2 linked regions of the Tamandua tetradactyla genome follow. The protein of the gene in region 1 interacts with the protein of each later gene in a pairwise test. Links are inferred from orthologs where the notes say so. Each region holds a gene or a part of one and is shown in the gene's direction. Other genes may lie near its edges.

Region 1 (8,033 bases):
TTAGACCTTTTTTTAGCAAGTTGGTCAGCCCCTTTCACCATTGGAGCACTCTGTAATCACATACTCAGCTGAGTCCCACTACCACCACCACATCAAGACAATGGTTTTGCATGGATATCCTATCGATCCACAGTTGACCCATTTAGCAACCACTTGAGAGCGTAAACACCAGGCCTTATGGTAGGTGATAATTTGCAACAACAAGCAACACCCAGAGCCTGACTCCAGGTTGCTCAAAGAAGGAGACAGACTATTCAGGTAATAAGTGCTATGACCAAATAAGCACAGAGCGTTGGGGAGCATGTAGCAGGGCCCCTAACTTTTGAAAGTGATATCCAAACTTAAAGCTGGTAGAAAAAGAAAAGACAGACAAAATACAGGGAGCAGTGTTCCAGGCAGTAGAGACAGTAGGCTCATGACACAGTGGTAAAAGGGTGGGGAGTTGCAAATTGTTTAGTAGGCTGAGATGTAAAATGCTAAAGCATGGCAATAGTTGGATTGGAGGGACCAGATAATAAAGGAACTTATTAAGCCTAAAATTGATCTTGAGCACAATAGGAGCCATTGAAAGCCTTTAAGCAAGAAAGATAAGTGTTTTAGAATGGCTCATTCAGACAACAATGAGGAGGATAGAAAAGAGGAAGAAGGTCTAAAGGCCAACAATATCAACCTTTAGGATCCATTAAATTATGTAGTCATCCAGTCTGTACCCTCTTGCAGAACCACATTGAAAGTAGCAAGAGAAGAACCTGCTCTAAATGGGAAATTCTATTCCCTTATCAAGTTTTTTTTTCTCATTCCCATTAATCCTATTTCCTTTCATTTTACTTCATTTTTATTTTTGAACGCTTATCTATATATATGGCTCTCTGTTCCCTCTCATTGTTGTTTTGGTGGTAACCCTAGAATTGGTCTAAGGGCACTGGTCAATATCTAAGTGATGCCAAGCAAACTGGGAAGGCTTCTCCATTGATACCAAGTTCCTTCATGTGGGGCTATATTTTTAAAACTACAATGCTAAGGCAATTTGACACCATCCACTAATTCACCCCCCCACCAGGTTTCTAGTTGCTAAGACTGTCATATTTGCATTTGAGATCATCAGTATGAGTAACCTTTTTCATCTTTCTTTTTTTGACCTCTGTTCTAATTAGAGCCTGGGTGTGGGGGTATATCCAGGTAGCCTGTGGGAGATTAGTTGTACAATTAGTATGGATTTTCGGACGTCTTGCAGTAATTAAATTCTGAAGCACAGTATATATCCCTTTTCTGAAATCTGTATTGTTGAGACCAGGTACATGTATTTCACTATAAATACATGTACCAGGTGATGTTAGTGACTTCTTTGTTTAGAGCAAGGATTCTTAATTTTTTTTGTGTGCCATGGACCTTTTTGGTGGCATCTGGTGTAGCCCATGAACATTCTCAGAATATTGTTTTCAATTGCATAAAGTTAAATATGAAGGACTGCAAAGGAAGCTAATTATATTAAAATACAGTTATCAAAATATTTAAAATTTTTTGTTAAACAGTCATATATATACTTTTATACACATAAAATAAAATATAGTGGTAGGTCCAGAACTACTAAAGTTTTGAAGCAATTTCAAGGTAATGTTTTGAAATCACCAACTGAAATATGATTATCAAAATATTTATGATTTCTATTGGTGATAAAGTCACAGGTAGTGCTAAAAATATTGTGGCTTGTTGACTAAATTCATAATGGAAGGAAATGCTGTATTTCAGTTAGAAATTAATGAAAATAAAGATTTAACTTTTTCCATACAAATTTACAGAACCCATGCTTTAGAGGTTGTTTAATATTCCTTTGTCATTTTAAGAGTAAATTATTTTTGTTTGTTCATTTCTATATTATTTGGGCTTAATTTTACTGCCTCTTGTGTGCTTTTTTATGCTTGAATTGTTTTTGCAATGTTGGAACAGCAATTATTGAACGGCTTGGGTGCAAAAAAATCAGCAACTGATTAGAAATGAGAAGTTTCACAAAAGCTCTTAATGTTACCTCAAGATATAACATCATGTAGTCATTACTGGAAAATCAAATCTGTTAAATTCATAATGCTTACACATGGTAAACTTGAATAAAATTTGAATCATCTGCATTAAACAATATTATAATGTTATCTTGTAAAAGTGTCTACCTAGATAATTCTCAGTGGAGTTTGTTGATTCCCCATGACATTTGCAAAATTTTTCATAGTACTCTCACATATCACCTTAAATGGATCCTTAAAACATTTCTCCAGAAAGGCAGGATGGGGTTTAACTTCTCCATTTTACAGTTGAAGAAACAGTCTTGGAGAAGAAAAGTGGTCAGCGGGGAACCCAGAGTTATGGAAGGCACATGGGAGGAGTGATAAGTGCCAAGTCAAGCACTGAGCCTCGCCTCTAGGCAGTTCTAGAAGTAGATCTCTCAGGTCCCAGGGTCAATCTGTTTGAGTGCCCACTTAGCATTGTCCAGCCTGGAGCTGGTTCCTGGATTAAAAAGTAGCCCCAGCCCTCAAGAAGATCTCCCTGTAATTGGAAATAGATTAGAACATTCAGAAACAATATTGCACACCTAAAGGGAGTAGAGCACCTTCATGTATGTGCACTCTTCATCTTTGCTTGTGCTCTGCGAGGTGGAGCTTCTTATTCCCATTCTTCAGACGAGGAAGCTGAGGCTTAGGGAGAGTCTCCCTTACCCTCTCGAATTAGATAGGTATCAATTTGCAGTCAGGATGAAAATCCAGGTCTGTCTGATTCAAGCTGGGGTTTGCTGATATCACATCCAGTGGGTCTCCCCTAGCCACACCCATTTTAAGATGGGGGCACAGACCATAAGGAATGTAGGGAAAAGTAAATCCAGGGAAGGAGGGAGGGCCAAAGAAGGCTTCATGTAAGGAATGAGGTTTTACCTGGTCCTAGACAAGAAAGATGGTTGAATTTAGAAAAAGAACTAACAGAAGTCACCCTAAACAAGGACAAGCCACACACTGGGAGGAGATATTTATAAACCATGTAACAAAGGATTCAAAATCTAGCTTAAAGAAGTCCATCAAAAAGACAAACTACCCATAGAAAAAATGGGCAACAAATTTGAAAAGCAATTTACCAAGGAGGAAATCCATATGACCAGTAAATAAAAAGACAGCATAATAGTGTAGGACAGGGCTTCTCAAATTTTAATATGCATTTTAGAATCACCTGGAGGTCTTATTAAGCTGCAGGTTCTGATTTTGTAGGTTTGGGGTATGGCCCGAGATTCTGCATTTGTAACAGGGTCTCACTCAGATGATGCAGATGCTGCTGGTCCATGGACCACACTTTTGATAGAGAACAATTCAGCCAGCCCAGATCTGAATCCTCACTTTGCCACTTAGCAGCTGTGGAGCTCGGGCAAGTAACTTCTCTGTGCCTCAATTTCCTCATCTGTAAATGGTCCTTATTACCTATATTTGGGAGGATTGAATGTATTAATATATGTAAAGCATGTGGTACAACACATGGCAGAAATAAGTGCTCAGTAAATGTTAGCAATTGGTGGTAGTAGTGGGAATAACTAGAGAAAGGCAAATTAGACTGACCAGACTGGCAGATGTCAGAAAATCTGACAATTTCAGGTGCTGGTGAGGCTGTGGGGAGGCAGGAACTCTCTCACTTTGCTTATGGGAGTGCAAAGTGGTACAGTCACATTGAAGAGCAGTTTGGCAGTATCTGGTAAAAGTGAAGATGCCCGTACAGTGTGATTCTAGATGTGTGTTAAAGATCAGGCTAAGGAAAGAGACATACACTAAGATGATATTTATGTAAATGTTGAACAACACAAAGGTGATACTGGATATTTTAATGCAAATATACATACGTAGTTAAAGTATAAAAATCAGTCACTTAGAAGCATACGCGGGCAAATTTAGGAGACTTACTGACTCTGGGGAGGGAGGGGAGGCAAATAGCACTGGGAAGATAGAGACCTTCAATTTTGCTGTACTGAATAGAAAAAATACTAGAAAATAGCAGAAGTAAAAATGACTAAATGTGAACATTTGTTAGCTCTGGGTAGTGGACATACAATTACTTGTTACATTATTCTTCCTACTTTTCTGTATTTTTCTTAAGTTTTGAAAGTTTTATGCTGAAAAAATATTAAAGGGGGGAGAGGTTGGAGCAAGTGAAGAAAGTGGGCTTGGCAGGTGTTGGACAAATAGAACAGAGGCTCACCTGTGAGGCACTGGCTTTCTTCTGAGATAAGTGGAAAAGTTTAGAGAGGTAGATAGGGAAGCTGAAACTCAGAAAAGTTAGTGACCTATTATCCCAGGTCACAAAGCTAGTACTGCCAGTTCCAAAGCCAGCGCTCTTGCTACAAGTTTCTCAGACCTGGGATTATTCAGGTGAGCAACCTGCCCCTCACCATGCCACTTCCCACCTCAAGCACCATCTCAGAAAAAATAAAAATGCACATTGCTACTTTCTAAAGAAAAATAATTTTAAAATTACATTTCCATTATTGAGTCCAATGGGAAAATGAGTATTCTTTCAACTTAGATTTACCTACTTAATTAAAAAAAGAAAATGAAAAATGACTCTCTGCTTTTTACCCACCAAAAGGTTAATTCTGGCTGTTTCTGCTTGCATCTTATGCAGCTGGAGGACTGAGAGCCTCCCGTTTCATCACTGATATAAAGGAGATAGCTCATCTTGAAAAGTTCCTGGGTTCAAATCTCACCTCTCCCAACTACTGTGTGACCTATGGGCACCTTCTTCCTCTCTGAACTTCAGGCCCTTCTTCCATAAAATGGCTACAGAGTGGGGAAGGGGCCCTCCTACCCTTTCCTTTGCCTGGAGGAAGTTGAGCACAGCCATGAGGGGCTGGAAGAGAACTGCAGGGTAGCCTGCAAGGGAGGGTGTGGCCTGGGGTGAGACTTCTCATCCTCCCTCCCCCAGGCTGCCCTGGTGACAAAACAGGGAGCCTACCCTGAGTCCACTCTAGTCCCTAGAGACTGGAGCTGGGAGTCCGAGACATGAACAAGATCTTCCCCCAGGTAAGTGCTGCTCTGACCTGATCTCGGGAGCAAACCCTGGTGTGAGGCGTGGGCAGTGAAAAAGGAAGATGTTAAGACTGCCTGCGGGAGCCACTGAGGTAAACCTGCTCTTAGGTAGGGTTTCACTCCCAGCAGGTGAATCACCTACACAGCTCAGGGGCAAGTGCTGGGAGGGAGCCAGAGGAGCCAGATGGACAGGAGGCTAGAGGAAAAGTGTGAGCTACATTATCAGAGGGGGCAGCAGAGAAAGTCTCACTGAGGAGGAGCCACCTGAGCTGGTTTGGGGATGAGCGTTTGCCAAGCAGACAGTAGAGGAAAAGGCATTCTAGACAAAGGTATCCTATAGGCAAAGGTGTGGAAATATGAAGTAGGCACGATGTGTTTGAAGAGCTCAGCATGCTGAAGTGTCAGGGAGCAGTGGTTCTATCTGAGATGGGGGCCAAAAGACTGATCTACTCTCGGGCCCTCAGTCTCCCCTTCTGAAAAACACTGAGGTCTGACTGCCCGAGGCTGGGCCTATGCTAAGCCAGGCCTCACTCTGTTCTCTTGAGCAGGGAGATGTCAATGGCAATGCAGCTGCTGGAAGCAAAGCCCTCTCTGAAGGGGAAGGTAATGGACTGGAGCGATGGACTGCGATTCCCCTGAGACTGGGCAGCTGACTACAAAGAGGTTCCCCCAAAGGTCCTACTGTCCCCCAGACCTCTACCCTCCATGTTTACGTCTACTCTCAGCTTCCTGGCTGGTCACGCTGACAGCCACTGACATAATAGCATCGGTCATTCTCTCCACTCACAAGCATTTACTGAGTACCTACTGTGTGCTGCCTACCTCACAGGCACTGCACCATTTACAGGACCCACCTGTATTTCAGAGAAACGAGCTCCAAAGTCAAATCCAATAATTTCCCTGGGAAATTATTTTTACCTCCGAGGGATCACATACATCTGTATCATCTATGTGCCACTGACTCACTGTGCAACCAAGACAGTTCTCTTTATCTTTATGAGATAAAGGAAGGAGGGATCCCACATTTATTGCCCATCAACTCTATGCTCCTCTTGACCCATATTTATTAGATCAGTGAAGAAAAGACCCAGAGAAGTAGAGAATAATAATAATAATAGCTAGAAAGGGTCGGATCCCTACTATGTGCCTGGTACTGCATGGTCTCTTTTCATCCTCGGGACAGTTCTGAGAGGGGGTCCTTGTTAATGGTGCAGTAACAGATGATGCAGCTGGGACTCAGGGAGGTTAAGTAACCTGGCCAAGGTCACAGAGTTGGTAGGTGGGAGAGGCAGGATTCGAATCCAGATTGGGGGTCTGTGTGATTGCAAAGCCCTAGTGCCTTCCATTGCTCCACACTGATGTTTATTTCCAAGTCCTGACTGGTGGTGGGGGTGATTGTAGGGCAATGGCCTCCTTTGCCCCATCTGTCCAGGGAGGAAAATCGACATTTGAGAGCCTTTCCAGCTTTGAAATGGAGCTGAAATCGTCACTTGATTCTGTCGCCTCTCCCTTGAGTCTCTTGCTAACCTTGCACATGGACTCTGCTGCACAAATATTTGAGGAGTGGCTGCTTGGCCATCTAGAACGCCTCTCCTTGCCAGGCTTCACACTGTCTCCCTGGTTATCTGAGTTTACCCTGTGTTTGCCAACAACAAGGGAGCCCTGACTAGGCTCAAGGGATGACTAGTTTTAGATTTATGCTTCATTTTCTACTACTGTCTCCTCTCCCAATACACACCAACCACACGGGGTCCGCCACTGCCCCCACATACCTTTCATGAGACCTTCACTTCTTCTGTACTTCTCTGCCTGGAATGACCTCCCTTTGCACCCTATACCCTCATCTATGTGAAAAAGCCCCCGTTCCCCAGGCCCCTCCATTGAGCTCACACAGCACCTCGCCTAACCACACTTACTACCTGCCACTGTAAGCTGCCAGTGTGCTAGGTATGGGTCTAACTTGTCAGTGAGTGCAGAGTAGGCAGCTCCAAAAATACATGTGTATTGGATGGAAATGGCCTGAGCTGACATGAATTGGGGGCCTACCCTAGACTCCTGGACCTCTGTGGCAAGCCTTGCCCTTCTTCTTTCAAAAATACTCACAAATCACCTACTATGTGCCTGCCTCTGGGCTGTACTCTGGGGATACAGAGATGAACCAGAACCATTCCTGTCCATTTCTCTGAGATAGCCGAGGCCTGAAACATGGTAGTTGTGCCCACATTCTCCTTTTTATATGCCTGTGCCTTGTCTTCTACGTGCATCTCCTAAGGGCCAGATTCTCTGCTTCTTTGGTGCCCCTTGCAGAGTAGGACAGCCAGTATGGTCCTCAATAAAGCTTTATTTCATTATTTCATAAGCAAGCAAGAAGTAAAGGACCAGAGATAGCGCTTATCACTGCTATTTCCACAATGCTTGGACTAGAGCTTAGCACATAGTAGGTGCTCAATAAACACTAAGAATAGCTAAAACCTTCATAGCACTTACTAGGTGCCAAGCACTGTTCCATTGACTAACAACCTTCTCGACAACTCTGTAGGGTAGGTATTCTACCTAGAAAATGAGGACACTGAGGCCCTGGAGAAGTGAAGTGACTTTCCCAGGGTGACCCAGCTAGCAAGTGGCAGAGCTGGGATTCCAATCAGTGTTTTCTGGCTGACTCCAGAATGGACAGTCAGAGTCATGGAAAGGGCAAGGGTTTGGTATCAAACAGACATGGACTAACATCCCAGCTCACACCGGTGACCTGGAGCAAGTCACTTCTCCAAGTCTCAGTTTCCTCATCTATAAAATAAAGAGCTATTATAAAAAATAAAAATAACAACTTTGAAGGGCCGAATGCAGTTTCTGCCCCATGGTAGGTGTCCATCTGTCCCTCGTTCTAAGGAGACAGACTCACGGAAGGATAGGAAAGGTGTGGGCTGGGGGATAGAGAACTGGATCTTCATCCCAACTTTGCCGCTCACCAGCTACGGGACCCAG
Region 2 (7,455 bases), on another chromosome or scaffold:
CTGCGCAGAGTCGCCGTGGCGGAGCTGCAGCAGCTCCGAGCACCTGCCGGGGGCAGGGGACTCCATGGGGAAGAGCATGGAGAGAGAATATCCGGAAGATGCAGGGCTTCATATTCTGGTGCAACGCAGCTGTTGCCAGGACAGCCAGGCATCCATGCAGCAAGTGCATCAGTGCACTGAGCACTGCCATGCGCCTCCGGCTCTCGCCCAAGTCCTGGTGACCATGAATTGGAGAATTTTCAGGACCACTTGACCCAGTGCACCATGCATTGCTGTGACAAAGCCAAAGACTCAATGGATGCAGGGAGTAAGGAATTTCAGGTGCAGCAGCAGCTGGGGGGCTGTGTGACCAGGTGTGCGGGCAGCCATCTGCACCCCGTCCCATCCAGGCCCGAGTCTCTGTCACCCATGGGGAAGTGAGAGTCTTTGCCATCAGGGATGTGGGCAGGAATCTTTATAAAAGAGGGCTGGAAATTTTGGTCCTTTAAGTGAAGTTTATGAATGAAGAACTTAAGGATTTCAGCAAGGTTAAGGACTACGTCACCTGCCTCTGGACCCTGGTTCTTTTATATACTTCAGTCCATAAAAAGCAAAATGGAAAAAAAAAAAAAACGGTGCTAAAATCTAGATGAGAGACAGCTCAGGAGTGGTGTTTTTACAGCCTAAACTTCATGTAGCAAGTGCTTGTCCGGGCAGTAGGGCGCTTCTGGAGCCTCCGATATACCAAATTCTTCTCGTTTCACAGGTACTAACAGCTGGCAGTTCCCTTTAACTTGCCTGTTTGAGGAGGTCTGTCTGCTGCCAACCTCCTGTTTTACCAGCAGTATCATCACACCATTTTCCATAAGTTGTAAAACAAAATCCATGAGGTCACTGATTTAAAAGGGAAAAAAAAGGTTTCTGGGTCTTTGATTTCGTTTTATATACAAGGGCCTGAAATTGTTGAAGATGTGGAGTTGAGAGAAAGGGCACTTAGAAAGCGATATCAGCTTGAAGGTGATACAAGTGTTGGAATCGAGACATCAAAGCAGCTCTCGTAGCTATGCTCTAAGAAGTAAGGACAAACACTTTGCAATGAATAGAAAGACAGACGGTACAAAAAAGAACCAAAATGAAAATATATACTAACCAAAATTGTAAAATTTAGTTGATAGACTAAATAAAGATGATAAGGAAAGAGTCAGTGAACTTAAAAATGGATTAGTATGCGTTTCCAATCTGAATAACAGAGGGGGGTATATTGGAAAAAAATTAACAGATCCTCAGGAACCTGTGGGGCAGTATCAAAGGTCTAATATTCATATCGTCAGAGTCCCAGAGGAAGAAAAAGTGTGTAGCACAGAAAAAATGTTATAAGAAATAATGACTGAAAAATCCCCCAATTTTGGGAAAGATACAAAGGTAGGAAGCTCAGTGAAGACCAAACAGGATAAGCTCAATGAAATCCATGCCCGGCTATGTCATAATCAAATAGTTAAAACTAAAGACAGAGAAAAAACCTTGAGAGCAGTCAGAGAAAAATGCATTACATATAGAGAATAACCATTTGAATGATGTGGATTTCTCATCAGAAACTAGAGAGGCCAGGAGTCGTACTGAAAGGAAAAAAAATCAACCCAGAATTCCATAGTCTACAAAAAAGAAAGAAAAGTTATCAACCTAGAATTCTAAACACCAGAAAAATATCTTTCCGGAGTGAAGGTGAAACAAAGACATTCTCAGATGAAAGAAAACGGAGAGAGCATGACCAGAAAACTAAGAGTGCATGACCAGCACACCTGCTTCACAGAGACGCTGCGGGGGGTCTTCAGACAGCAGAGGATGACCCCAGAGAGAAGCCTGGGGCTTTAGGAACAAAGAACAGCAACGTAAATAGTAAATATTTGGGTAAATATAATAGACTATGTTTTTCTCTTAAGTTCTTTAAAATACATGTGAGGGCTGAAAGCAAGACTGACTGTCGGTTTTGAATGTATGTAGATATAACACGTGACAGCTAAACTTAAAGGCAAGAAAGTAAAGGGACTAATGGTGGAAAGGTTTTGGTAAAATATTAATTCTGAGTATATTGTTCAAAATTAACTATGTAGATTGTACTTCCCAGAGCAACTTCTAAAATAATATGAGATAAAGTAAAAACCCCAATAGATGAATTTAAATGGAACACTAAAAATATTGAGAAAACCCAAAAGAATGCAAGAAAGAGGGATCAGAGGAATGAAATATAGAGCAAACAAATAGAAAACAAAAAATGGTAGATGTAAATCCAAGCATATAGATAATTTTATTAATTGTAAATGATTTAAACATCCAAGTAAAACAGTAATTTTCAAATGGATTTTTTAAAAAAATCAAATTAGATCATGCACGCACACACACACAAGCTGCTCTAAGTGTAGTGCTATAGGTAAATGAGAAGTAAAAGGATGGAAAAATGTCTACCACGCAAGCATCAAGGGGATTCTGCATGCAAATACTGTTTATAAGCAACTATAACTTGCATACATTGTTGGTGGAAATATAAATCGTTCGACTACTTTGGAAAATAGTTTGACATTATTGCTAAAAACACATGCCGTGTGGCCGTACTTCCACTCGCAGCAAAAGTGCATACGTACACACACAAATACATGTTGTAGCATGCTCTGAGCAGTACTATGCATTATTCATAATTACCCCAAGTAGAAAGAACCCAAAAGTCCCTGAGTGTAAAGTGGATACATACAGTGTAGTGGGCTCCTTCACTGGGGCCCCAGAGAGCACTCAGTGAGCTACAGCGTCGCACAGCGACATAGCGGAGCCTCACAGACCAGCAGCAGGTGGAGGAAGCCAAACGTGACAGAACCCAGACAGGATCCTTCAGCCCAGGCAGAGCCCGTCTGTGGGGTGAGAGGTCAGAGCGGCTGCCCCCGGGGGAGGGAGGCCTGGTTAGGAGGGACGGCCACTGTTCCATGTTCTGATCAGGACCGTGGTTTCACAGTCTGTAGGTTTCGTGCACTTTTCCAACGAGTGTGTCATACATCAACAAAAACAATTTTTTTTAATTGGAATGAAAACACTAACCAGAGAAGGTGCAGGTCTTGCTGTAGAAAGGAACGATCGCCAGAAGAGAAGTGGTTTCAGGATTCCAAGCAGATAAACAAGTACTTATGAAGTGTCTGCCATAAGCCAGCAGGTCCCAGATGCTTTCCTAGATCTCATTTAATCCTCTCCAACTAACAAGTGAAGAACGGGGAACTCCAGCCAGCGGTGCCAATGACTGCTTACGTGGGTGTCAGGACGACCCTCTAATCTCCAGCTCCAGGCAGGGGGACCTGCAGGCCCTGTGCGGGGGAGTCCAGGGGCCCCCCCTCGGGCCTGCCCTTCCCCAAGGCCTACACATGGCCTTTGACCTTGTCTCCAAGTGCGGCCACACCCACAGCCCCAGGGATAGAGTGCTGAAGCCGAGGTGGTCCGAGAGCACTAAGCCCGGTCCCTACTGGGGCCTCCCCACCTGTGTGCGTCTGAGCAGTACAGTTAGTTTCCCTGTGCGCAGCCTGGCTCCTGTGCTGCACTTAGTCGTATAATCAGTTGTTACCAGGTTAGACGTAAACATTTAAAGCATACCAATTTTAGTAGCCTCGTTTTAACAATGTCTCCATTTCCTATTACACCCCCATGGGCGCAGGAGTGCAGTGGCCGGGGCCCTGGTCCTGTGTGAGCTCTCTGCTGCGCAGGAGGGCAGCCCCCTGGAGAAGGTGGCTTTCCTTCTTTACCTTAAGATGTGCACACTATGTGGTTGCACATCAAGTCAGAGCGAGTACCGAGGGTTCACGCGCAGGTTTCACAAGCAGTGAAACAGGTGGACTCCTGGGAAACGTCGGCCTGGCCTGGTTAATCCTGTGAGCAGGTGGGGCCAGGTGGCAGGCGGGGCCAGGTGGCAGGTGGGGTGGGGCTAGGCTCACCTGGAGGGCGGAGCCTGGAATTCACTGGCTTCCAGGCCTCTTGCCGGCAGCGCCAAATTGCAATCCTCCCCCGTTTGGTCCTCGCCAGGACAGCCGAGGCCAGGACAGCCGAAGCTGGGCGGGGCAGGCAGAGGGGTCCCAAGGCCTGAGCACCCGCATCGGGGGAACTGGGGTCAGCCAGTTCTCAGGGGGGAGGAACAGGGCAACCCAAGGGGGCGCGGCCTGGGGCGGGGGCGCAGGAAGGACCCGGCTCCGGGCAGCCACAGCTGGGGTCTGGGGGATGCAGGGTGGGAGGGGCGGGAGCAGGGGCGGGGCTTCGGCGATTCAGGAGCCACTCCACGCCCAGAACTCGGGGTGCGGTGGGGTGGGAGTGGGGTGGGGTGAGGGCATGGGGGAGGGCCGCCGAGGTGACCCGCCCCCCCCCCCCCCCGTCCTGTGCCCTCCAGCCCCGCCCCCTCAGGGCGTCCCTCCCCTGGGCCCGGCCCGGGGCGGGGTGGGGGGGGGAGGGGGCGCCCCAGTTCTGCCCCGGGACCTGCTGGGCCGGGCGGCCTCTGCCCTCCCCGCGACGTCGCGGGGTGTGGCCGATGGAGGCTATTTGAGGGCGGGCGGTCGCACTGCGGGGAGGCGCAGGCAGGGTGCGAGCATGGCCTCCCGGGACCCGCCCGCCAGCAGCTACAAGGGGCCCGAGGTGCCCTCGGGGATCGCGCTGCTCACCACCGTCCCCTTCGCCTTCTTCCTGCCGGAGCTGGTGAGCGCCGGGCGGGGGGGCCAGGGCAGGAGCTGGGCCAGGGGAATGGGCCGGGGAACAGGGTAGGGTCACGGGCACAGGCCAAGGCAGGGCTGGAGGGCAGGGGGCTGGGGCAGGGCAGGAGGCTGGGGCAGGAGTGGAGGACAGGGGCCGGGGGGAGGTCAGGGCCCGGGCAGAGGGCAGGGGGCTGGGGCAGGGTCGCGCCTCCTGCGGCACCCGGTGGTTTCGGTCCCTCCAGCTCTGGATCCGCCGCTGTCCCCCAGAACCAGCCGCTCCCACTTGGGGCTGCTCACCGCCCCCGCGGACGGGTGGATTTCCTCTTTCCAAAACAAATCCCACTGTGGGGCGGGCGGGCGGGCTGCCGGGCCGCTGGGGGTGGGGGGGGACAGGACTGAGAGGCTGGGGGTCTCCAGAAGCTGGTGGGGCTGGACTGGCCCGCGGGGACCCCCTCCCCGAGCATGAGTGCCCGGAGAGGAGTCCAGGCCCCCGGGAGTCTTCGGGCCATCTCAGAGGTCAGGATGGCGACTGATAACGCGCACCCACGCCAGGCGGCGTGTGACAGTCCCTGCCGCAGAGGGGGCAGGAGCTCCCCAGGGCAGGTGAGGTCCTGTCACCATGGCCCCGCCCACCTGGTCTGTCCCGTCTGCAGCATGGCTCCGCACGGGCCCCCAGTGTCCCCTCCTGAGCCGGCTGTCGGTGCCCCTTTTCCCGATGGGGAGACCGAGGCCGGCTGAGATGCACGGGGCAGAAGGAGAGCACAGGAAACGCCTTCCCAAGTCTCTGCTTCTGGGTGACCTTTTCCCACCTGCTGGGAGCTTGGCCCGGCTCCTGGGTCCCGCCTCTGGCCTGGGCCTGGCTCGCCTTAGGTGCCTGGCAGGCAGCCCGGCGGGACTGACCTCCTGGCCACTGGTGAAAGGGCGCGCAGTGATGTCAACGTGAAGGGAAGCCGGCAGGGCGGGCCGCCTGTCGGTGACTCCAGCGGAGACCCCACCCGAGGGCGGCGGCCGGACACAGCGCGGGCGTCTGGTGCAAGGGCCCTGGTAGGCGTGTGTGCTGCGCCCCACCCCACCCCCAGAACCCACACGGGCCAGGGGGCGCCGCAGCCTTTGTGGGCACATGGTGTCTGTCAGCAGTCCCGCCTGGACAGAGGACACTCGGACAGGACTCCCCAGGTGGGGGTGGGAGGTGTAGAGTCCCAGTGCCCAGCTCAGAGAGTAGCCCCGGGCAGGGGCTCTGCCGTGCTCCGCCCCCCTCCCCCAGGGTGCTGTGCTCATGGGAGCATCCCACCGAATGCCGAGGAGCAACATGCTTGGCTGATTTGGGCTCTTGGAGCTTTAAGTATTTTGCATTGTCACTAGTTCAGTTTTATTCATTTATTTTAAAATAACTTTAGGTATACAGCAAAGTTGCAGAAATAGTGCAGAGCATTCCCGGGTGCTCCTCTGGAGTTCCCCTGATGTCACGTCTTGCACAGGCAGCTGGAGAAATCAGCAAACTGATATCAAATCCTCGCCATAGCTCCTCCATAGCCGTATCTGAATCTTGCCGGTTTTCCTGCCAGTGTCCGTTTCCTGTCCAGGATTCCGTCCACGCTGTGCTGTGCTGTCCTGTTAATCCAGGACACCTCCTCTCTCTTTGCCTTGACGCTGCTGCAGAGCCCTGACCGGTTGCCTTGTAGAATGGCCCTCAGTGTGAGCTTTTTGATTTTCTCATTACAGTTTTGTTCATTTCTTAATTCATGAGCAATCCTCGTTCATGGGCGAAAACTTAGAAGATGTAGAAATGTAGTTTCTCTGTGTTTTGGTTTGCTAGGGCTGTAGAAGGCAATATACCAGAAATGGGTTGGTTTTTACAACAGGGATTTATTAGTTTATAAATTTACAGTTCTAAGTCCATGAAAACGTCCCAGTTAAGGCATCAGCAGGCTGACACCTTCTCTGAAGAAAGGAAGGCACATGGCGCGTCTGCCGGCCTCCGCTCCTGGGTTTCGTTGCCTTCAGTCCTGGCTCTGTGGCCTCCTCTCTGAGCTCCTGTGGGACCTCCTGGCATCCCCAGGGCTTCCCTCTAAGCACTCTCAGCCTTTCCTGCCTTTTTATCCCCTCGTAAAGGATCAAGAACTACCTTGAATAGAGTGGGTCACATCTCCATGGAAACCACCTAAACAAAATGCCCCCCTCCCCCACAACAGGTCTGCCGCCACAGGAGAAGGCACCTGGCCTTTTCTGGGGTGCAGCACAGCTTCAGCTAGCACACCGTGAAACTGGGGCCTATCTGTGCAGCCCTGCCGCGCGTCTATGTACCCCTGCAGGACTTCGGCAGGCTTAGTCTGGGCGGGCTCCCCCTAATTTAGCAGGAATTACGGGACCACGAGTCATGGAGGTCAGCTGGAGAGGGGGCATTGCCCCGGGCAGGAGGACAGACAGGCAGACTGGCCCTGAGTAGGGGCCCTCCGGCCTCTGGACACCACGCAGAGGGGCCAGCCACACAGCCCCGGCTGTGGGGGCGCCTCAGACAGGAACGTGTTTCCTGGAGACAGGAGTGCAGAGCGTGGATCCTCAGCTGGGAGGTCAGGCCAGGAAGAAGCCGCACAGGAAGCAAAGGCCAGTGACCTGGAGCTGGCGCAGGGTGAGTGCCAGCGGCACCCCGAGAGCCAGCTGGGCGGGAACCCCCACGTGGGAGCAAGAGAGTAAAGTACAAGGGAGTGGAGTGGAGAGCCGTGGCCCCTGGCTGGCCGGCGCAGCCTCGGGCTCTGGTAACAGGCGA

The links.
Region 2: the proteins of LDLRAD1 (region 1) and MALL interact in binary tests that used the Homo sapiens proteins (3 or more experiments, as listed by UniProt). The two-hybrid records come from large-scale screens. The link is inferred for Tamandua tetradactyla from reciprocal best matches to the Homo sapiens genes LDLRAD1 and MALL.

The regions. Positions count from the first base shown.
Region 1 is NC_135328.1:167,435,305-167,443,337, forward strand, and holds the start of LDLRAD1 (low-density lipoprotein receptor class A domain-containing protein 1), read left to right. Parts: upstream 1-5,024; coding exon 5,025-5,045; intron 5,046-5,599; coding exon 5,600-5,654; intron 5,655-8,033.
Region 2 is NC_135343.1:1,889,416-1,896,870, forward strand, and holds the start of MALL (MAL-like protein), read left to right. Parts: upstream 1-4,446; 5' UTR 4,447-4,587; coding exon 4,588-4,692; intron 4,693-7,455.